Linked DNA regions of Ovis aries. The protein of the gene in region 3 purifies or fractionates together with the protein of the main gene of each other region. This does not show direct contact. Links are inferred from orthologs where the notes say so. Each region holds a gene or a part of one and is shown on either strand. Other genes may lie near its edges. The genes, in order: WAPL, PDS5B, SMC3, USP13, NIPBL and REC8.

Region 1 (3,500 bases), on a different chromosome or scaffold from region 3:
AGCTATCATTTCCTAAATGACAGTGAGTCAAGAAAGACTGGCGGGTTGGAGGGTTAACATGATCAGATGTGCTCTTAAGGAAGTTAGCTATGGTGGTGGTATGCAGGATTTCAGGAAAGGAGAGTTGAGAAAAGCAAGAACAGAAAGGCCACAGAGAAGACTGACCATTAAAACACACCAGATGCCTACCGGGCAATGGAAAGTGACACCAGGGTCTCCTGGGCTTCCTAGGCATGCTGTGCTTTACCTTAGAACAGCCCTTACTGCACATAACCACCTGATTCTCGTCTTTCCTCCACTTAAACACTGGGCAAACCAATGTCTTTTACATTTTGTGGCATCAGCTAGCTTTTCAGGGTTAATCATAATGACCCCTAAGGTAAGAAAGACATCCTGGGCTCTATAAATTCACAGTATTGTCTACAACCTAACCTCTCGAGACATGAGAGACAAATAATTCACATCTGAAAAAAACTCAATTTTCAGATTACTTAAGAACACAACTGAAACCAGGGTGTATGCAAAATATGTAAAAATCTTTAAATAGCATACCCACTCTTTTTTGGGGGGTGGGGGTGGGGTGTGCTTTCCTCCTCCTTTTTGCTTGGTATGTGCTTCCCATTTGCCCTTAAAATCTCTGAATTTTAAGGAAATAAGGACAAGGGCTGAGCTTGAAGACAGTCCAGGAAAGGAAATAAAGATTTGTGGGGCCTCTAGCACCATGGTAAGAACTCTGGTCTTGATCCTGAAAGCAGTTGTGCCAGCAAGGGCCAGCAACGAAGTGGGCCAGTATGCACTCAGCTCAGAGCCTTTCTACAATATGGAATAAATGAACAAGAAAGATCCAGAAAAACACACTGGACTTAAGACAAATAAGGTACACAGGAAGAACAAAAATGACAATGGATAAAACTTGATGGCAAAAATGAGGAAATGTGGGTGGGCAGACAGAAGCCCTTCATATCATGATTACGTTCTTTTCTTCTAGCCCTCTAGTCTTAAGAAAAGAGAAACTAGCCATCCCACTATACAACAGGTCTCCATTCTTTCTTGCATCCTGAATGCCCTTGCTTGTAGGGGGAAAAAACCCACCTCTCTTTTATTTTAAAATTTCTCTCTTCTACTGGGCCTCTCTGTTAAAAAAATAAATTTAAAAAAATCCCACGTGTCCTCCATTTTAAAGCAGACTGTTCAAACAGTGAGAAATGTCCACTTCTGTGCTGATTCAGCCCAACTGTGTACACATTCACATCCTTTTCGTAAAGTGAAAGTGAAGTCGCTCAGTCGTGTCCAACTCTTTGTGACCCTATGGACTGTAGCCCACCAGGCTCCTCTGTCCATGGGTTTCTCTAGGCAAGGATACTGGAATGGGTTGCCATTTCTTTCTCCAGGGGATCTTCCCAACCCAGGGATCGAACCCAGGTCTCCTGCATTGCAGGCAGACAGTATACCCTCTGAGCCACCAGGGAGAGCCATGATTTTTCATAGTTAACTCATGATCTAAATCTCACATAGTAATCCCATTTTCCTGGCCAATGAGTCATCAAACAAAAGCATGTGAGCCAATCTTGGCCAAGGTAAAGGAAGTCGACTTTCTGCATTGGGTGTGGAAAAGTCCTAGGGAAAAGAAATCATTGCTCTTTAAACAAAGAGAAACAAACAGGCCACATTCTTCTGCTGGGCACTATTTAACTAGGTGAGACACAGAGTCAGCATAGGTGCATGAAGAAAGCTAGCAAAAGACAACACGCAGAGGAGAGCAGAGTTTAAAGGTAGAAATTATGAGTCCTTGGTATCACTGAGGCGAACCTTTTCCACCTTAAGCCAGCTGAGCACAGGTCTCATATGGTGCTTTTACTTCAACCAAAGACATATAAGTTGATTCCTCTATCAATCTGGAACTTTCTCATCGAAACCAATATACTCTTACTTTGAAATGTACCTTCTAAAGTTCACCAAATATTTGAAAGTTTTTAACAGGAGGGAAAAATAAAGTAACAAGTTAATTAAGTAACGATGTGAAGTGGCTGCAGTGAAATTCTTATAGGATAACATAAAACAACACAGAACTCTTACTTACTGGACTCTCCTGGCAGAGACACCCAAGAAGCAGTGCGGTGTATGAGGCCACAATGCAATCCTCCATGTGTTTGCCAGCATGTTGAAGGGCTGAAAGTATTAAAACAGAAAACTAATAGTGCATGTGCATATATATATAAACCAAAAACTACAACAACAAAAGCACCTAGGAAACCAGCAACTGTGTCATCTTTACTTCAAAACTGCTAAACGTTGATAATGGTGCTGCTGCTGCTGCTGCTGCTAAGTCACTTCAGTCATGTCCGACTCTGTGCGACCCCATAGACGGGAGCCCACTAGGCTCCCCCATCCCTGGGATTCTCTAGGCAAGAACACTGGAGTGAGTTTCCATTTCCTTCTCCAATGCATGAAAGTGAAAAGTGAAAGTGAAGTCGCTCAGTCGTGTCCGACTCTTTGCAACCCCATGGACTACAGCCTACCAGGCTCCTCCGCCCATGGGATTTTCCAAGAAAGAATACTGGAGTTGGGTGCCATCGCTTTCTCTGGATAATGGTGCTAGGAAGATGTAATATCCACACAAATTAACCAAAAAAAAAAACAAAAACAAAAACAAAACCCACAAATGGTAGAGGGAGCTTAATATAAAAGCTAAAACCATAAAACCCTTAGAAGAAAACAGAGGACTAAATATTTGTGCCCTTGGGTTAGGAAATGGTTTCTTAGACACACCACCAGGACCACAAAAGACAATATAAAAAATAGGTAAGTTAGACTTTATCAAATCTAAAGCTTCACCTTCAAGAAGACAACTCATAGAATTTATCTGCAAACCAGGTACTTGATAAGAATCGAGGCTCTAAAAATTCTACTCAATAACAACAAAAGATAACCCAATTTAAAATATGGGCAAAATATCAAAACTGTAAACACCCTTAGGAGTCATGTTACTTGGTTGCTTCTCTTCACAGACAGTAAAGAGAGGCCCAGGGAGGAAACACAGACCTTCCAACAGTACATACACGCCACTCTCACCGCTAGGTGAAGACTGCTACCAAACAGCAAAGCCTGTGTGCACTCAACCAGAGAGGCCATAAAACAGCAAGATTATGACCACACATGAAGTAAAAAAATGTTTTACAGGGGAAAAAACACACACACACATCTTTTAAAAAATAAAGCAGTCAAAGAAAACATACCTTTATTGAGGTCGAGTTCTTCATCATCCTCCTCCTTCTTGTTTTTCTCTTCTGCACCATCAGTCTTCTCGGTTGATACCCACTGTATTTCTCCACTTGTTTCTTGCCACTCTCCACTCTTATCATGCTGAGTGGTGGGCGCATCTTTGATCAATTCATCTGTTTTACTTTCTGCCAACTGTGCTGCTCGTTCTCGCTCAAGGAACAGCTGATAAACATTTTTGAAGGTCATTAAAAAGGGATCACCTACCAACATCAATGTAC
Region 2 (3,500 bases), on a different chromosome or scaffold from region 3:
TGAACTCTTGCAAAATAATTTGAAACTGGTTTGAAACTTAATATTATTTACAACTTACACATTTTTGGGGGGTTGTGATGGTGATGGTGTTTTTGATGGTCTTCCTCGTCCTTTCTGTGGTGTGGACTGTGTGGATTCAACTGCACTAGTTTCTGGAGACTCTGCTCTGCTTTGGGAAAGACCCAGATGCAGACAGCATCAAGTTATGATTTACAGTACAATAACTGAATGCATGCAGTTCAGAGTGGCACACACTTACCTCTGCTGTGCTCTCCTTGAAGGCCGGTGCTGTTTACTTTTTGACTTCTGCTCTGTGTTTCCACTTTGTCTTTCTTCTTCCTCCTCCTCTTCTGCTGTTGAAGGTCCAGATTTTTTTTTGCTTCCTTTTTTGGATGTTTTCATCGTTGGCTCTTCTTTGGGTGTACCCCCACCAAGAGGTTTTGGTGGTCGGCCTCGTTTACCTTTTTTTGGTGGACTGTTCTGTTCATCCTCATTTTCTAGTATATCTTCTTTGAGCCTCTTTTCCTCAGGCCACTGCTGTTCGTCTGACTCTGAAGCTGTATGGCCTCTCTTTCGTCCACGCTGACTGCCTTTAGGTTTCTGTTCCTGTACCAACTTGGAAAGGTCATCCATGCCTAATTTCTCTTCTGAATCTGTTACAGGTGTCTTTTTCCGGCTTCTAGGTTTGTCCAATTCAGACTAGGAATAAAAGCCACGATTTCAAATATAAAACTTAGTATACATTATTTGTGTGTGTGTGTGTGTGTGTATATGTTCAAGAATAAACAAATGAACAAAATCTGTTATCTACTTCAGTTATAAGAATGTACCTAATAAGGTCTAGAGGTTTTAAGCATGTCGGAACCATAACTACCTACTTGCTTTTATTAACAATTTTCTAATATAAAACATAATCTGGGGGTAAGAGGGTAAATTTTTATTCTTACTCTAGCTAAAGAGCCTCAGATGAAACCTCTCAGTAGATGAATAGATGATAAATTTTTGATGAAGAGCTAGTCCATTAAAAAGAACATTCTAAATTCAACACTTAAAAGGAGTCATAGTTCAGTACTCATTATGAAGAATTGCAGTTCTTATTAGTATCTGCTGTCTCTACCAAGTTTTAATTGGCAACTTACTTTCAAATATTTCACAAATGTCTATACTGTTTCAGTAATAAAATCAATATATTTTCTTAAAAAAAAATCCATCTGGTCTACTAAAAAAAAAGAAAAAAAGCCAAATTCAATGCTTAAATAATAGACAACTACACTGAGTATAGTGCATCTGCATTTGACAGTCAATTTAAGTAATCCTAATTTTACCACTCAGTGTATATAATAAGACATAAATATTAACTAGGTAATGCATAATGCATACACATCATAAAAGAACTATTTTATTTCAAAAGTGGAGGTTGTAAGATACAAAGTTAAACATATTCATCATTTATTAAAAATTCTGAAAACATTTCTGAATCAAAGATATTGCTTTTTCCCAGATACAACAATACAAAAATCAGTGACTTCCAAATTTAACATAAAATCCCAGTCTACAGTCACAGAATTTAAGCCTTGACTCGTAGATGGCGATTCTTTAAAGAAATTCTTCAAAGAAACAAGGAAGAGTATGCATGACTTTGTAATTTTCTCCATAGGTTTGAAGAAGTGAAGTGAAGTTGCTCAGTCGTGTTCGACTCTTTGCGACCCCATGGACTGTAGCCTACCAGGCTACCCTGTTCATGGGATTTTCCAGGCAATAGTACTGGAGTGGGTTGCCATTACCTTCTCCAGTGGATCTTCCTGACCCAGGGATCGAACCCGGGTCTCCTGCATCGTAGACAGACACTTTACCATCTGAGCCATGTTTGTAGTACTAAGTTAATTTCCAAATGGTTTGTTCCAATTTACATTCTTAAAACATCAGTGACTACAAAAATTATCAGATTACTTATAATTCTTCACGTTTAATTAGTCATTTGTGTTTCCTATCTGTGAACTGCCTAATTATGCCCCTTGTCTGTTTACTGGAGTCTGAGTTTTAATCTACAATATTCTACACTTTCATGTGTATTTCGTGTATAACAAACAAATATTCCTGTTTGTTGTGAACTGAATTGTGTTCCCACAAAATTCACAAGCTGAAGTATTCTGATATTCTTTGGATATGGGGTCTTTGGGAGGTAATTCTAAAGTCATGAGGGTGGGGCCCTCATGATGGGATAAGTGTCCTTAGGAAAAGAGACACCAGAGAGATCTCACTGTCTCTCTCTCTCCACCAGCTTGTTGTTGTTCAGTTGCTCAGTCATGTCCGACTCTTTGTGACCCTGTGAAAAGCAGCACACTGGGATTCCCTGTCCTTCACCATCTCCAGGAGTTTGCCCAAACTCATATCCTCTTACCACTGGTAAGAACACAGTAAGAAGGGAGGGTGTGTGAGGGTGTGTGTACGTGTCTTCAGTCATGCCCAACTCATTGTGACCACATGGACAGTAACCCGCCACACTGGTCTGTCCATGTCATTTTCCAGGCAGGAATACTGGAGTGGGTTGCCATTTCCTACTTCAGAGGGTCTTCCCAACCCAGGGATCGAACCCAGGGTAGCCATCTGCAAACCAGGAACAGAGATCCCATCAGCAACTGGACTGGCCCACACTTTGATCTTGGACATTCCAACCTCCAGAAATATGAGAAAATTTGTGTTGTTCAAACCTTCCAGTCTATGGTGTATTGTTATGAACAGACTAACACATTATCATATCTTGTTTTAGAATAGGATGTGAGTTGAGGTTCTAAACTGTTTTACCTACTCCCACTGCCAAAGACACATCTAATCACTTCAATGATGTATTATGCTTCCTTTACTTTGTATTATTTTTCAAAGACAGTAATGCTTCTAGGTATTAGTAAAATACTATGCAACAAAAGCATGGTATTTTACTAATTATAACTAAGTATGTTTGTGTTTGGTTGGGCTGATTTTATCATTACTCCTTCTTTGCATCCATTTATTCTACCTTGAGCTTCCTTGGTGACTCAGTGGTAAAATACACCTGCTAATGCAGGAAGACACAGGTTTGATATCTAGTCTGGGAAGATCCCGAGAAGGAAAGGAAAACCCACTCCAGTATTCTTGGGAATATTGGAAATCCTGGGAAATCCCACGGACAGAGGAGACTGGGCGGAGGGGGTGTGGGGGGAAGGTGGGGCTATAGGCCATGGTGTCACAAAGAGTTGGACACAACTTGGCAGCTAAACAACATTCTTCACCGTGGACTTAAAATCACACTGGGATTTTACAATGATATTTTCACTCAGAACTGTCATTTTTTAAAAATTCATTTATCCCATGAAAGAATATGGCATGTCCTCTCTCTCTCCTATATTTCTCAGTTTTAATGTTTTCTCCATATAGGTTCCTCCTACTTCTTTTTAAGATTATGTTTAGATCCCTCTAATTTCACTGTAACAGTTATTGCTGTAAAATAAATCTATTTTCCC
Region 3 (3,500 bases):
TGCAGTAAGTTATTACATTGATACAATATTACATTATTATATAAAAATGGAAATATTTTAAATTACTATAGTCATTTTAGATTTGTATGATATCACTTAAAGTTAACTGTAAAGTCCAAGTACATGTTGCTGACTCATAAAAAATATATTTTAAATTTATTTAATCTATATGACACTCACTGACATGGCAAAAAATCTTTAAAAAAAGAACCACCATATGTATATTAAACTGTGCTGGTCTTATCTAATTAAGTATCTGTCTTGTGTATTTTATGATAAACTATTTACAAATAAAACTTAAACAGATAAACCTGCATATGTTCACACTCAAAGATTTCACAAAGCAGCTACAGAAGTTCTTACATTATACTGCTCCAGATTTTTCTCTTTATTTGCCTCAGTGTCCTCCAAATCCTTGTGTATAGCGGCAATCTGTCTTTTCTTGTCGTTAATAGCTTGATCTAAAGACTTGAGTTCCTTTTTAATCCACTTATCCCTTTCTTCTTTTGATGTAAACTGGCTTCCTCGACCCTGCTTTGCATAAAGGTCGGTTCTTTCCTGGGTAGCTTGGGCCAATCTACACAAGACAGAAAAGAATGGATTAAAAAGGAGAACAGGAAATAACCAAGTTTAATTGCAATCAATACCTCAAGAGTACAGAGAGACAATAACCATTTTTGTAATTCCATACAAGAAGGAAAGAAGGAGAATTCCCTGGTGGTCCAGTGTTTAGGACTGTGTGCTCTCACTGCCGAGGGCCTGGGTTTGACAGCCAGGGCACTAAGACCCCACAACCCACATGGGGAAAAAAAAAAGGAATTAAGTATAAAAAGCAACTATTATCTAATAGTGCTTCTAGGACTAGCTCTATTTAACATTAATTTAACTTCAAAATCACTGTGAAATTCAGGTAAAACAGCCCATCCTCTAAGGATTTAAGGTCCTTCCTGGTCTGGGTTAATCACTAAACCTAGACAAATCTAGCACCCTACCTCAGGATTTTCAAAAATGCTCCAACTATATTTAATTATTTAAACATTTTCAACACCTTACAATGAAAGACATTATAAAAGTTAAAAGGCAAGAGAAAACACATAAAACATACAGGACAAATATTAACCCCCAGATAACATAAAACAATACTATCGAACAGTAAGAAAAAATAAAATCAGGAAAAAAATGGACAAAGGATATAAACAGGAATTTCATTAAAATGAACATGAGGCATAAAAACACGATAATGTACTAAATTGTGAAGTCGGCAAACACTGGCAAGTCCAATCTACAGACAGAAACTAAAACGTATAGATGTTAAAAGATGTCAAGTATGAAAAGAAGGTGGCAGAATGAACACACAGCAGGATACAATTTGGGTAAACAAAGTCCAAATTTTAGCTATATTATTATGGGCAAGTTACTGAACTTCCCAGAGCCTTAAATTTGTCAAACTTATAGTGAAGATACTGTGGATCACCTAGGGCTTCTAAATAGGCAATATGCATACACTAATACTGGCCCACAGTACTGGCTGTTACTTTGAAATGGGCATTTAACTTTGCCCTTAATTACTAACTTCCTAACCTATAATTCTTTATATAATAAGGTTCTATAGAGGAACCACACAGAAAATTAGAATTGGTGAAAAAAGTCCCAGACCTAGCAATTCCTCGCTCTTCTTTTTCTTTTACACTGTTGAATTTAGGTTCTGTTTCTGCCAGTTCTTTCTGCTTTTCTTCTATTTTTTCAAGCAGCTTCTGCCTTTCTTTTAATAAGCGTTTCTGTAAATAAAGCAAGATAAGTAAAAATGTAATCTGTTTAAAAACTTTTCTTATTTTTAAATCCAGCATAGGATATTTTCTCATGAAAAGAATTTATGAGAAAACTGATCCTGCAACATAAAACTAATTTTTAAATGTAAGTAACTGAAAGTACTCAGTTGCAACTTGAATGCAAATTAATTTTAATGTGCCAAATTTTTTACAAAAATTCAAGCATGTACCCCTGTCACAGAAAGGACTGTCCTTCAAGCATGCACCCCTGTCACAGAAAGGATTGTCCTCTGCAGTTTCCAATCACCTGAACATTTATGTCTTTCATTTTCAGCATTTTAACTTACCCTCTGTTCACTATTGCCTGCCAATTCATCTTGTAAATCCTTGGCTTTAAGCTCCAATTTAGTTCTCTGCTTAATTTGTTCCTGTCTTTCAGCACTGAGCTGTTCCTTTTCTTCTTTCATAGCTGAAATTTTTGTTTTCAGTTCTCTAACTTGGCGCTCAATATCCTATTCAAAAAGTATCAAATAGAAACAAATTAGACAACTAGAAATACAAAAGCAAAATCAGGACATCATTGGTTTGTCTCTTCTTTTTCTCTTATTTAAACTTTCAGTACTACTCTCTTTCCAATACTCAATCCCAGTGACACCACTACTTGAAGTTACCATTCCATAATTCTGGTACAGAAAGGTTAACTTAGAAGTTAACCTAAGTCTAGTTTATAACCTTACCTCCATCTTATCTCTTGCATCCTGCTGAGCATCTCTTAATTGTCTGGATTTTTCTCCACTTGTCTCTCGCTTAGCAGAAAGCTGGAAAAAAAACCAAGCTATGATTTCCAACCCATTTTGGATTTGTTCAATATTTTATAACATCTAGTAAAAATCTTTAAGTATCTGCTAAAACAAGCATTCACTTAAAAAAAAATTTCCCCCAAAATAACTGTATTGGGTTTAAATAGAAAATGCCTATAGTTTTCAGCATTACCTAAAACAAGTTTTTGTACAAAATGTTAGCAATACTAATTACAAAATACACCTTAAAAAGCCAAGAAAGAAATTCGTGAAACCCTAAAAGTTGTTTTCTTCTCATCCTGGTCTGCCTGACACCACCACCTAATTATATTTCAGATGCAACTACAGCAAGGACCATGTGAGTCATTTTCCTTGGAGTAGACTCAAAGAGTAAATGTGCTGAGTAATAAATTCACTAAGAAATTTTAACATTTTTGAGGTATGTATTTAAAAATCATTGAAAAGTATAAATACAGTATGAGTTTAATATATTCATAAAAATAAAATTAAACAAGTGGCAAAGGTAAGTATTTTACCTCATCAAGTTTAGCACGAGTCTCGTTAAGTTCCTGATTGTAAATGGTATATTCCAGGGCTCGTCTCATCTTATCCCACTTTTGATACTGAGCTAGTTCTTCCTTTTCTTCCTCTAAGGTATGTAATCTCTCTTCAATGTATTTTAACAACTCATTGATTTTTTCCCGTTTTCCCTCTTAAAAAAAAATGGGAGAAGGATGAAGGAGTTGAATAAAACTTTTAGGCAGTATCAATTCTCAAATATACTGTGTAAAACTTAATCTTAAGCACTTTAGCATTACTTCTTTGACATTAGGTGGTAACCAAATCTAAGATACTAAAATGGCAATTAAAATGCTTTATTATGGAAAGTATGAGAGAATAAACTTATACATGGTGACACTGATTCTTATAT
Region 4 (3,996 bases), on a different chromosome or scaffold from region 3:
TTGTTTTATTTATTTCTAACCATCCTTATTTATGACCATTTTCAAAAGTATCCAATGCAAGGATGGCTATTGTTTCCACTCAGATGATTTTGGTCCTTTCTCTACCACAGTCCTACTGCACTTGTGGATTAAAGTCTGCTATTTGGCACCAATGAATTTTGCTCTGTATGGTTCTTATAGCCATGAATGTAACAGCTGGCACATAGTAGGTGCTCTAGAACCCTTATGAGATTCATGATGAAGTGTTAAATAAGTACCATAGGGAAAGATCTTGAATTATCATGCACTGTACTTTAATATAACTTGTTATAAAATCTTCTCGCTCTTCCTCCCTTGAAACATAAAGAAATATACTGATTCATCAGCCTTGTAAACAAGCCCAGTCTTCCCCAAGGAACTACTGTGACATGAATGAAATCAGTTTACACTGGACAAAATACTTCTAGAATAGTGTTTGGCACACACTAAGCTGAGCACCAAAGAACTGATGCTTTTGAACTGTGGTGTTGGAGAAGACTCTTGAGAGTCCCTTGGACTGCAAGGAGATCCAACCAGTCCATTCTGAAGATCAGCCCTGGGATTTCTTTGGAAGGAATGATGCTGAAGCTGAAACTCCAGTACTTTGGCCACCTCATGTGAAGAGTTGACTCACTGGAAAAGACTCTGATGCTGGGAGGGATTGAGGGCAGGAGGAGAAGGGGACGAGAGAGGATGAGATGGCTGGATGGCATCACGGACTCGATGGATGTGAGTCTGAGTGAACTCCGGGTGTTGGTGATGGACAGGGAGGCCTGGCGTGCTGCGATTCATGGGGTTGCAGAGAGTCGGACACGACTGAGCGACTGAACTGAACTGAACTGAACCTTCCAATAACTATTTGTGAAAGTGAGTAAAATAATCAGCTTTTTTTCTTCACTCCTACCATACACTATAAAACACGGCAAAGACTTTCAATAACAAAGTTTGCAAGAAGAATCTGAAGAGTAACCCAGGTTAAACAAAGAGAAAGCAGTTTTACCCACTTTACATGATGTATTATCCTAAAATACTTGGGCTACTCTCCCAATGGCATTCACAATCTTCGATTGCTTAAGTTAAGTAGGATCATTCCTCTCCAGCTTTAGAAGCTATTAGTGGAAACCTGCTCAACACTAGACACAAAATCTGGACATGACGTTTTCAGATACTTTGTGGATACAATGACACTGCTGACAGACACATTAAGTTGTGATTACAAGCCGCTAAGTAATAAATATAGCCATTTCACTTCACACTGCACACCTTTTTAAAAGAAAAGAAAGTAATGAGCAAATAAATGAGACTTTTATCTCCCAAACGATCTGTTATTAGCATAAAAGAAAAATAGCGCAGAAAGGATAAGTTCTGCAACTCCACTGTGTACAAAACAAAAAAGCTTTGGAAATCAGCTGAAAGCAACTCAAGATAATAAGGATACTTTGGAACAGGTGCCATTTATCTGGCTTTTTTTCCCCCTCCAACAAAACATAATATGAATAAACTGTGTTAGACTATTGTTGTGAAACCTGCCTCGGTGCCTCCAATCCAGAAACCTCCCTTTTGCATCGAGATCTGCCGAGTGACACATGAGCTCTAAAGTGGGTGGATAAAAATAACCTGGTCCTCAAAAAGACATGATAAACGCCAGACAGCTGAGTCACTTTGAAGCCCATTTTGACTCCCGAAAAGGACAATCCACCCTCCTTTTTCCTTCTCACACATACACATACAACCTGGTGGAAAACACACCAACAGCGCCGGGTGAAAGGCGGTGGTGCGTCTCGACTTTCCCCGCCAGTCTCTGAGGTCACGACTAGCGATTGAACTTTTAATCATTTATACTGGTGCATTTCAGTCAAAGCGACTCGTTTAGGAGGGAAAGAGAAAGGATTCAGGAAACCGTTAACAATCCAGCAGACCCTCTATTTCTGCTGCCCCAGTGGAAGCAGCCGACGGTTTCTTCCGATGTTCTGACGGAAAGAAAAGGAGTGGGGAGTAATTTAAAGTGGAGAGAGGAAAGCTCAGAGAGGAAAGCAGAACTGTCCAGGAGTGGGAATCCCTGGGCAAAGCGAACGGTCCCAGAAAGAGAAGGGCTGCGTACATCCGGAGTGAATCAACCTCGTCCGCCCACCTGCCCTCCGTGCTCCTCCCAAAGAGGACGCAAACCATCTGCAACGCACAGTTAAGATTAGGGAACGCTTCGACTCGCTCTCTCTCTCAAACGGCGGCGGGGCTTTGGAACCGCTGCTAGGAACTGGGGTCCTGGCAGCCTAAGAAGGCGGCGGAGCAAACGACCCCGGCCGTCCCGGGCTTCGGCTGCAGCAGCCCTGGGGAAGCCTGCGCCGCCGGGCACCCAGCAGGCACTCCTCCAGTGTTTGCCCAACTGCCGTGCCCCTGAGGCAACTCTGAGGCCCGGAGGAGCCGGCCCCCGGCTGCCGCCGCGCATCTCCCCCCCCCCCCCCCCCCACCGCGCTTCACGTGCGGCCGAGTTCGGCGACTCGCGACGGCCGCAGGCCGCGGGCACCGCAGCCTCCCGCGAGACGCCGTCCTGCCGCCGGGTCTCACTTACCGGGGAGTCGTAGGAGAAGGCGCACTCGTTCTTGTAGACCCTGTCCCCGGACCGGGGCACGCGGATCGTGGGCATGTGGGGCACGAGCAGCTCGCCGATGTCTCCTGCAGCCATCTTCCTGCTGCCGCTGCCGCCCGGCACGCCGAACAGGGCGCCCCGGCGCTGCATGGCCGCGGCGCGCACTCGAGCCGAGCCGAGCGGGGCGCTGGGTCTGCCCACCTCCGCGGCGGCGGCGGCGGCGGCGGCGGCGGGCTGCGCGGGCTGCTGGAGCCGAGCCGGGACGGGCGGGGAGAGCCGGCCGCGGGGCGGGAGCGGGCACCCCGGGCCTGGGCTGGCGGGCGGGCTGGCTGCTGAAGGGGACGCTGCTATTTTTAATCCAATGGCGAATCGCCGGCCCAGCTGCAGCGTCAGGCGGGGCGCTCGGGAGCACCCGCCGCAGCGCGCGGGGAGGGGGCACTGGAGAGGGGCCTGGGGCCCTGGCCGGGCTTGGCGGCCGAGGCGGAGGGCGAGTCCTGGGTGCGCAGGCTCCGGGGCCGGCTGCGGTGGAGCACCACCGCCGTGTTTTCTATCCTAAATCGCTGCTCTGCGAAGGGGAACCTCCGAGGCAGCCAACAAAGGGCAGGATTTGAGATTTTTTAAACCGCTAGCTTTTAAACAACCAGGGTAACAGCGGGGACGTACCCTGATTGGATAGGGGTGGGACTCTAGAACCTAAAGTGGGGCCCAAATCTAAATTTGTTTTTGGCACTCCGATGTTAATCTAAGACTTGCTCCTCAAGTTTTTAAGATCTAAAGCTCTTTGAAAGAGAATAGAGTAAGATTAAGTAAGGATAAATGTATATTTTTCCAGTAATACTGACTTTTCTTCCGAGTGGGGGAGAGTATCAGGATTATTTGGGGGAAGGTATATTTTTCTCTATCTTTGGAAAGTCTTCTCTGCATGAACCATTTCAGTTGACTGATTTGGGATCTTACTGCATACATACTTCCTCCCTGCCTTTGCATGTCCAGTTCCTTAAATAATAAATGGGAATAGGTTGGGGTGGGAGGTGATTTAATAATCTGCAAAAACAGAAAATTTGTCACAGCATACTCTTATTTTCTTTAAAAAAAAAAAGAAGAAAGAAAGAAACTCAGAACATGAGGTCAGTTCCACTGAGCTTCTCTAACTACATCTAATCTAAGGAGCAGGATACCAGTGACACCGACCAGTTAGTGAAACAGAAAAAGTGACTCAATACACTGATTTTTATGCAAATCAAGACTACAATGAGGTACCCCTTCACAGAGGGTCAGAATGACCATCATTAAAAAGTCTACAAACACAAATGCTGGAGAGGGTGTGGAGAAAAGGGACCTCTCCTGCACTGTTGGTGGGAATATAAGTTGGCAGAGCCACTGTAGAAAAC
Region 5 (3,500 bases), on a different chromosome or scaffold from region 3:
AATTAACTCTGAGTTGACATTAATGTCTATAGCTTATACTCTGGTTTTACCTGTGTGAAACGCCAAATATATGGTTTAGATTATATATCTAAGCAGAAAACAAAGATGAGAATAACCTGTGTTCTGAGAGTGTAGTGAAATGGATATATTCAGAATGGTTTTATTTAGTTGCATCTGAGGTGTAGATTTTTCTTCTTTAAATTTTCAATTTTATATTGGAGTATAGCTGATTTAACAGTATTGTGGCAAGGTCAGGGAGACAGCAAAAGGACTCAGCCTACATATAAACGTATCCATTTCTGCCCAAACTACCCTTCCATATAGGCTGCCACATTAACACTGAGCAGAAGTTTCTGTAGTACACAGTGGGGCTTTGTTGGTTATCCATTTTAAATATAGTTGTGTATACCTGACTCAGTAATTCTTGGGAGACTCCTGAGAATCTGCATTTCTAACAAGTTCCTAGGTAATATAAAAGTTGGTGCTGCTTGTCCAGGGAATCACATTTTGAAATTCTAGGGTAATGGTGACATCCTGTCTGCTCAAAATGCTTCAGAAGAAAATAAAAATGAATATACAAACACATATGTATGTATATTCTAAAAGAGAATAATAAAGCAAATGCTAACCACTAAAGAAATCTGGATGAAAGATTTGTGGGAGCTTTTTGTGCTATGCTTAAAACTTTTCTGTAAGTTAGAGGCATTTGTCATGGCCAGCATGGATATGGTTATGGACATTAAAAAAATAAAAAAGAGTATAAAGAAAATGAAAAAAGCTTTACATGGTAGGATTACAGATCATTTGGGCTACTTGGTGGCTGAGATGATAAAGAATCCTCCTACAGTGTGGGAGACCTGGGTTCGATCCCTGGCTTAGGAAGATCCCCTGGAAGGGGGCATGGCAACCCACTCCAGTATTCGTGCCTGGAGAATCCTCATGAACACAGCAGCCTGGCGGGCTACAGTCCATAGGGTCACAAGTTGGATACGACTGAGTGACTAAGCCTACACATATCATTTACCTGTCAATTTTCTTAAGTTATCTTAGTATTACTATCAACTCCTCCACAATTTAAAATAAAAGTATTGTTAAACCAAATAGAAACTAGTATCATACATTCATAACAGAAGTTCACACACACACACAAAACTTAACTAAGGATTATATAAATCATTTGAAAGTTCCTGTTATACAGAATTCATCCTAAGGTATATATTTTCTCTGTGGCACTTTCACATGATTTTATTCTGAATCTACAGAATGAAATCCAACACTAACGTAAGAATACCTTAAAAAGTTCTTAACTATTTATGACTTATCCCCATAACATAAATTCTTTATCTCAATACCTGTTTTAAAATTCGTTCTATAGACCCTTGATCCATTTTGCTTGTAACAGCATCTTTCCTCAGTCGTGCAGCAACAGTTCCAAGGTAATCAAGAGATGCCACTCTTAAAGCCATCTCTGTTGACTTGTTACTGAACTGATGAACCTGCATATGAAAAATAATTTTAACTTAAAATATTTTTAATAGCAGTTTATATAAATTCCATATCTATGCTGTTTTACTTGAAATTTAAACATTTTTTCCCCGTCATATTGTCCCACAAAGTAATTACCCTTTAAAAATTTTTTGTTTTATTTTTTTGGCCGCATCCTGCACCTTGCAGGATCTCAGTTCCCTGACCATTGACTAAACGTGGGCCATGGCAGTAAAACCCAGAATATTAACCACTAGGCCACCATGGAACTCCCATTAATTGCCTTTTGAGTTTCCAGAATTTTAACATTTTCATTAAAAAGAAAAAAAAATTATAACTAAGTCTTCCTAAGAACACAGTCACTTTCTTTAAATGTAGGCTCAACTGTATAAAATGGGATTATAACTAAGAACTTCTTAGACTGGAATTTCAAAGTCTATTAAAAATATCTTGGTTTCAGAATAGTATTAATGTATTTTCCAACTGACAGAAAGTAAGGTTCCCAAAGCTCTGTAACAACTACACGAGTCCAAATGTAATTTAAAAATAAAAATCACAACAGCAGTTCCTTGTATTTATTTCCCTTACGGTATTACATGAGGACTAAAATGTGTCACGTTTTTAGAAGTCCTCTTAAAGATGACAGAGTTCATATTAATCAGTTTCATGCTTTGAAATGAATTAACTATAATAACATGACTCTGTGTTGAGATGCTTTTAACTAATAATACTTTCAAACAAATAAAATAAGTTTTTTAAAGCACTGTTATCTTATGTAATGAAATGAAAGCACCAAAAGTCACAACATTTCAAAATTTTATACAAGGTACCGACAGTATTATGTACAGTAATACATGCAAAAATAGAGATGCAATGGTCATATTTCCTTACACATTTTTAAAGAATTCATCATCTGTGAATCAGAGTACATCCTCATTATGTTGTCTTCTAGTAATCTAATAATCTTTAAATGCTATACTCTTACCAACAGTCTCCCTAACAAACTAAGGAGTAGTTCAGCAGCTGGCCATTCAGGCTTATTGACTGTTGAAAGAAGGTCTTGAACAAAATTTTCAAATAGTGGTCTGTAATCTTCTTCACCTTGCTTACTACCACATCTGTTCAAAGATAAATAATGAAAAAGCTGTGAGTTTAGGTGACATGTTCACCAATATGACTGAAATTCTGTTAACTAAGTTTCTCGACTTATATATCTAAACAAGGTGTAACAGAGCACATTAAATAAAATATGGTTTAAAATGAATCTATTTCTCAAGCTTCATTTTCCCCCCTACTACAGGAAATTAAATTCATTTACTGACTAATATTAACATTACTTTCTGGCAAGCATAATACACTTTAAATAATGATCACTGTTTTTCTATGAGATTACTATAAGTTCTTCTGAAAACTAAGTAAACCTCTATCCCTAAACTTTCCTGTTCAACCAGAACGTCTGAAAATTCAATGAAAAATTAAAGAATTTCAATCTTGTACTTTAGCTTCTAGAGTTCAACACACAAGAAAGTTCATGAAACTTTAGATTTTATAATATTCCAACCGCCTCATTTTAAAAGATAAGGATATCAGGAGTCAGGGAGATATAGTCAGGGTTTAGACTATGGAAGGAAGTTCAATTAATCTTTTACATAAAAGAAAACTATTCTCTCCATGGGGAAAAGAAAAATCAGATTATGTTAATTTTACTCACTTTTTAAGGAAGATGGAAAGGAAGTTTTGGGCTGTCCGCATGGCTGTTTCATAAGAATTGGTAATGACAACATCTTGGTCAACCTAGATTGAGAAAAATGGATGGACATAAGAAATAACCAACAAACAAATTATTTCAGTTGCTACTACCATGTTATTACTGACTATAAGGGCAACACAATTAAACACTAAAACTTTATGAACTTCCCTGGTGGTACAGTGGATAAGAATCTGCCTGTCAATGTAGGGGACACAGGTTCAATCCCTGATCTGGAAAGATCCCACATGCCACGAAGCCTGTGCAC
Region 6 (3,927 bases), on a different chromosome or scaffold from region 3:
GTGCAGGGTGTGGGCCAGGCTACCTTGTACAAACTTGCACAAAGGCCTGTGGAAGCCAGCAGGGGCCTTGAGGAGACTGAAAATGGGTGAGGAGCTCTGGCAGAGGCAGTGTGGAGGGGCAGCACTCACCTCAGGGCTGACTGGGACGGGTGGCAGACGCAGCTCCAGCGGGGGCGTCACCTCTGCAACAACAGTCTAGGTCCACACCCTTTGCCCTCAGAGCCAACCAGGTGAGAAGCTAGAGGGTCCTCCCTTCAGCAAGCTGGATTACAGGGTGTTGTCTGCAGCAGCTGTGCTGGGACCCCGAGGAAAGACCCCGGTTTAGTGGGTACTCACCAGGAAGTGGGACCTCTGGCTCCCACCCTACCGGCTTCAGCTCCTCCGGGGCCAGGACCTGGCTGGGAAGTGGCTCTGCTGCCTCCTCCACCCTGAAGGGAAATGGGCAAGAGGATGAAAATACCCTCCCAGCGCTGACCCCTACCTGGCCTGGGGCTCCTCCCCTTACCCTACAAGAGCTGAAGGTGAGGGTGGGGGAACTGTGATCTCCCCCTCTGGGGCCCGGGGCTCCTCTCTGAATTCTGCGAAGAGAGGATCAAGCTTAGAACACAGAAGAGGTGTGAACATTGCCCGGCCCAGATGGCCAGCGCCTGGGGTCTGACCGTCCACTGCCAGGTGGGTCCTACCTAGCCGACGTTCCTCTAACAAGATGCCTTCATCCTCCTCAGCAATCAGCAGGTCCAAGACACGGCGGCTGACTTCTGGGAGGTCCAGTTCACCCTGTCAGGAGAGGTGACCATTTCTGTCTGAGAGACATGCCGCAGGGCCAGGCCAGGCTGAGGAAGCCTGTGGGTACTCGGGCATCGGGGGAAGGGGTAGAGAAACGGAGGCAAGAAGGCAGGACTCTAGGGGCAGAAGGAGCAGGTACAGGGGGCCTGGGCCATCAGACGCAGGACTCGGCCTTGGGCTCTGTGTGCAGGGGGCAGCTCACCTCGATCCGCAGCATACGTATGGGCTCCGCCTCCTGGATCGTGATGGCTTCGGGGGTGACCCGAATCCTTTCTGGAGGGGGAGGGAAGTCACACCAGCCTCTGTTTCAAGTCCCCACACCCATGTGTGTAAAGCAAAAACAGACTCTAGAGTCAAGCCAACCTGGGTTCTAGTCAGGCCCTGGCCAGTCACTGGCAGTCTGACCCAAGGCACATTGCTTAACCACTATGGGCTTCACTTTCCTCATCTGTAAAATGGGCATAATAATTCCAATCTCGTAAGAATCTTGTAGTGCCCCTCCCAAGGCCTTGCTCCTGAAAGAAGCTCAAAAACAGTTATTTCTTCAGCCTTTGGGAGTTGGTCTGCCTCTCACCAGAAGGGTCTCTGCTCACCTGGCTCCCGAAGCTCTGCGGGCACTTCAGGAGGGATCTCTTCAGGAACTCTCTCCAGGGTCACGGCCTCTAGAAGGTGTCGAACCTTTGGGAAGGGATGGGAACAAAAGACCAGATTCAGCTTCAGTGCCCTGCTCCCCCACTTTCACAACCTTATCCAGACAATGGACAGTGACACCCCTTTATGCCTAATCCTGTGGCACTAACAGCAGCATGCAGGGTGAACCCACTCACCATCCAGCTCCCCTTCCTCCCATTTCCTGCCCCCGCCCAATCATCTAGCCTGGGTCACTTTGTGAAAGAAGTACTGCATCCTGGGGTCAAGTCTTGTCAGGGACAGAGGAAACTAAAGATCCTTGAGGATACTGTCTAGTGGGGAGACAAGTTTGTGTTTGACCCCAGCAAAAGCCAGCACAAAGAATGCTGTGCTGCTGAAACTAGCACAATGCTGTAAATCAACTACACTTCAACAGAAGCTTGTCTAAGCTGTAGGGGTGTTAGGAGTGGATGGACAGGGACATGGAAAACCCAGTGCCGAGGGACACAGAGGGCCTGGACTGGGGCCTCGGCTCTAGGGATGGTGTGAAGACAAAAGCCACCTCTAGGTTGGTCCTGAATAGGTAAGTGCAGCAGGCTTGTCTGGATAGGCCCACCATGACAGCTGCCCTGCCCTGACTCCTGTGGGGCAGAGCTGGAGCAGGCCCCCACCTGCACCCCTCAACCCTGGTGCTAGACTGGCGCAGAAAGAGCACCCCCCTCTGTACTGTCAGCTCATCAGTCTGAGCTGTCCGACGGGGAGGAGACCTACCTGAGGGATATCAAAGGGATCCGGCAGCATGGGATCCACAGACATCATCCCAAAAAAGGGGTCTGGAGCATCTTCCAGAGTCTCCATTCTGGCCAGGTGGTCAGGCAGCAGCAGGCTGGGTCTGAGGGAGGCAGTGGGCTGTCAAGGACTGAGGCCAAGTTCCCTTCCAAAGACCGGGTGGTCCCAGCCCCAGGGATGCACTCACAGGTCAGTCTCCACCATATCAATGCGGATCTGCAGCTGCGCCCGGTGCAGGCGCTCCAGGATGTGCTGGATGTCTTCTGCGGTGAGGGAGGGCAAGCTACAGTGCCCGCCCAGAGGAGGACCACTCGGCACTGCCCTACATCCAGGCCTTCCAGCCTTACCTACAAGGTACTGGCATTGTTGAGAGTAGACGCGGATGACGCCAATCTGGAGCTGCGCTGAGAGGTAGAGCGAGAAGCGGGGCCGCGGTGCGCCCGGCAGCGGGGGCTGAACTCGCACCAGCACGTAATTGAGGATTTCCTCGCTGGGGGAACAATGCACCCCAACACCGCTGCGCCAAAGACCTACAGCCTTGCCCAGCCCAATGCATCCCCTAACCCACCCCAGCCCTGCGCCACTCTTTCCTGGGTCTTACCAGGTCTTCACCACATTCACCTTCAGGTATTCGCGCTTCACCAACCGGCAGCCCCGCGTCGCTGCCAGCCTGGAAGAAGAATGAGAGGTGTAGATGCAGGGGGAGCCCTCAGGTTGGGACCCCTGGGTGTCCCTCCCAGAGCACCTACCCTGGCCAGGCCCGCCCTTACCAGATGGTGGCGAAGCAGCCGGTGTGGCGCTGAAGCACATTGGGATAATAGAACATGGTCCCTCCAGGGTTTTACCCTCGTCTACACCACTTCTGTTCAGATCTCAATCCAAATTCTTCAGGGTACAGAATTTCCCAAACCGTTGGAGAGAAGGATGTGGACCGGTAGTGTGGACCAGAATGCCAAATACAGGAACCAATGAACTATGGGTGGATAAATGATTAAGGGGATAAGTAAATGGAGACACAGACTGGATACACGTGAGCCCTGAGCCAGTCTGCACACCATGTAGGTGCTTTGAACTTACGGGAGCCTTGCAGGTTGGATTCCAGGTTGGAGATGCAAAGATTCGCGAAGGAAGACCGTCCAAGCTACAACCCAGGCCAGGTCCGAGGGAGAAAGGGTTGTCCTCTGCAGATAGGCCCGGCAGCTGACTGTTGCGCAGCTTCGGCTGCTGCCGGTCCCGCTCCTGCAGCCCAGATCCCGCCGCGGGGAGCGCGTGCTCTGGTGCTTTGCGCTTTACTCCTCATTAGATGGCGCGCTCTCCAGAGCAGCCAATGGGGAACAGGGTCAACTTGGGGGCGCTTGTTCGGGGGCGCTACGTAGCCTAGTCCAGGCAACAGGGGGCTCCCGAGGCAGGCAGCGAACCAATGGGACGAACCCTGCAGGTGGTGGGGGGAGGGGGGAGGGATTGTGAGGGGTCTGGACCAATGGGCTCTCATCCTCGCCGGGTAACAGGGGTACCTCGGGAGTGTTTCCCCATGGACCAATGAGTAGGGCGGAGACTCCGAGCACCGAGCCTGGCAACAAGGTGCTTCAACTAGAGGAGGAGGTTGCGTCATGCCAAGGGCAATCGTCGGGCCCTGTTTAGGGCGCCTGACTTGCAGTTAGACCTTACCCTTTTTCCGAATCCCACAGTGCAGCGAGTGGTTGGTCTACTTTTATGCCCAGC

What was found.
Region 1: the proteins of SMC3 (region 3) and WAPL purify together in Homo sapiens (affinity purification with mass spectrometry; 7 studies listed by BioGRID and IntAct, with this or other methods). This does not show direct contact. The link is inferred for Ovis aries from reciprocal best matches to the Homo sapiens genes SMC3 and WAPL.
Region 2: the proteins of SMC3 (region 3) and PDS5B purify together in Homo sapiens (co-immunoprecipitation; 7 studies listed by BioGRID and IntAct, with this or other methods). This does not show direct contact. The link is inferred for Ovis aries from reciprocal best matches to the Homo sapiens genes SMC3 and PDS5B.
Region 4: the proteins of SMC3 (region 3) and USP13 purify together in Homo sapiens (affinity purification with mass spectrometry; 4 studies listed by BioGRID and IntAct, with this or other methods). This does not show direct contact. The link is inferred for Ovis aries from reciprocal best matches to the Homo sapiens genes SMC3 and USP13.
Region 5: the proteins of SMC3 (region 3) and NIPBL purify together in Homo sapiens (affinity purification with western blotting; 4 studies listed by BioGRID, with this or other methods). This does not show direct contact. The link is inferred for Ovis aries from reciprocal best matches to the Homo sapiens genes SMC3 and NIPBL.
Region 6: the proteins of SMC3 (region 3) and REC8 purify together in Homo sapiens (affinity purification with mass spectrometry; 3 studies listed by BioGRID and IntAct, with this or other methods). This does not show direct contact. The link is inferred for Ovis aries from reciprocal best matches to the Homo sapiens genes SMC3 and REC8.

What each region holds. Positions count from the first base shown.
Region 1 is NC_056078.1:40,192,479-40,195,978, forward strand, and holds part of WAPL (wings apart-like protein homolog), read right to left. Parts: intron 3,445-3,500; coding exon 3,237-3,444; intron 2,170-3,236; coding exon 2,081-2,169; intron 1-2,080. UniProt on the Homo sapiens protein: Regulator of sister chromatid cohesion in mitosis which negatively regulates cohesin association with chromatin. Involved in both sister chromatid cohesion during interphase and sister-chromatid resolution during early stages of mitosis.
Region 2 is NC_056063.1:28,619,824-28,623,323, forward strand, and holds part of PDS5B (sister chromatid cohesion protein PDS5 homolog B), read right to left. Parts: intron 700-3,500; coding exon 260-699; intron 170-259; coding exon 59-169; coding exon of another isoform or gene 55-58; intron 1-54. UniProt on the Homo sapiens protein: Regulator of sister chromatid cohesion in mitosis which may stabilize cohesin complex association with chromatin. May couple sister chromatid cohesion during mitosis to DNA replication.
Region 3 is NC_056075.1:30,667,136-30,670,635, reverse strand, and holds part of SMC3 (structural maintenance of chromosomes protein 3), read right to left. Parts: intron 3,282-3,500; coding exon 3,106-3,281; intron 2,588-3,105; coding exon 2,507-2,587; intron 2,282-2,506; coding exon 2,117-2,281; intron 1,779-2,116; coding exon 1,657-1,778; intron 578-1,656; coding exon 364-577; intron 1-363. UniProt on the Homo sapiens protein: Central component of cohesin, a complex required for chromosome cohesion during the cell cycle. The cohesin complex may form a large proteinaceous ring within which sister chromatids can be trapped.
Region 4 is NC_056054.1:208,250,952-208,254,947, forward strand, and holds the start of USP13 (ubiquitin carboxyl-terminal hydrolase 13), read right to left. Parts: upstream 2,801-3,996; 5' UTR 2,756-2,800; coding exon 2,588-2,755; intron 1-2,587. UniProt on the Homo sapiens protein: Deubiquitinase that mediates deubiquitination of target proteins such as BECN1, MITF, SKP2 and USP10 and is involved in various processes such as autophagy, endoplasmic reticulum-associated degradation (ERAD), cell cycle progression or DNA damage response.
Region 5 is NC_056069.1:37,368,459-37,371,958, forward strand, and holds part of NIPBL (nipped-B-like protein), read right to left. Parts: intron 3,280-3,500; coding exon 3,197-3,279; intron 2,604-3,196; coding exon 2,471-2,603; intron 1,497-2,470; coding exon 1,353-1,496; intron 1-1,352. UniProt on the Homo sapiens protein: Plays an important role in the loading of the cohesin complex on to DNA. Forms a heterodimeric complex (also known as cohesin loading complex) with MAU2/SCC4 which mediates the loading of the cohesin complex onto chromatin.
Region 6 is NC_056060.1:20,795,450-20,799,376, forward strand, and holds the start of REC8 (meiotic recombination protein REC8 homolog), read right to left. Parts: upstream 2,801-3,927; 5' UTR 2,410-2,800; coding exon 2,393-2,409; intron 2,309-2,392; coding exon 2,188-2,308; intron 1,465-2,187; coding exon 1,380-1,464; intron 1,060-1,379; coding exon 989-1,059; intron 778-988; coding exon 506-777; intron 429-505; coding exon 337-428; intron 183-336; coding exon 130-182; intron 1-129. UniProt on the Homo sapiens protein: Required during meiosis for separation of sister chromatids and homologous chromosomes.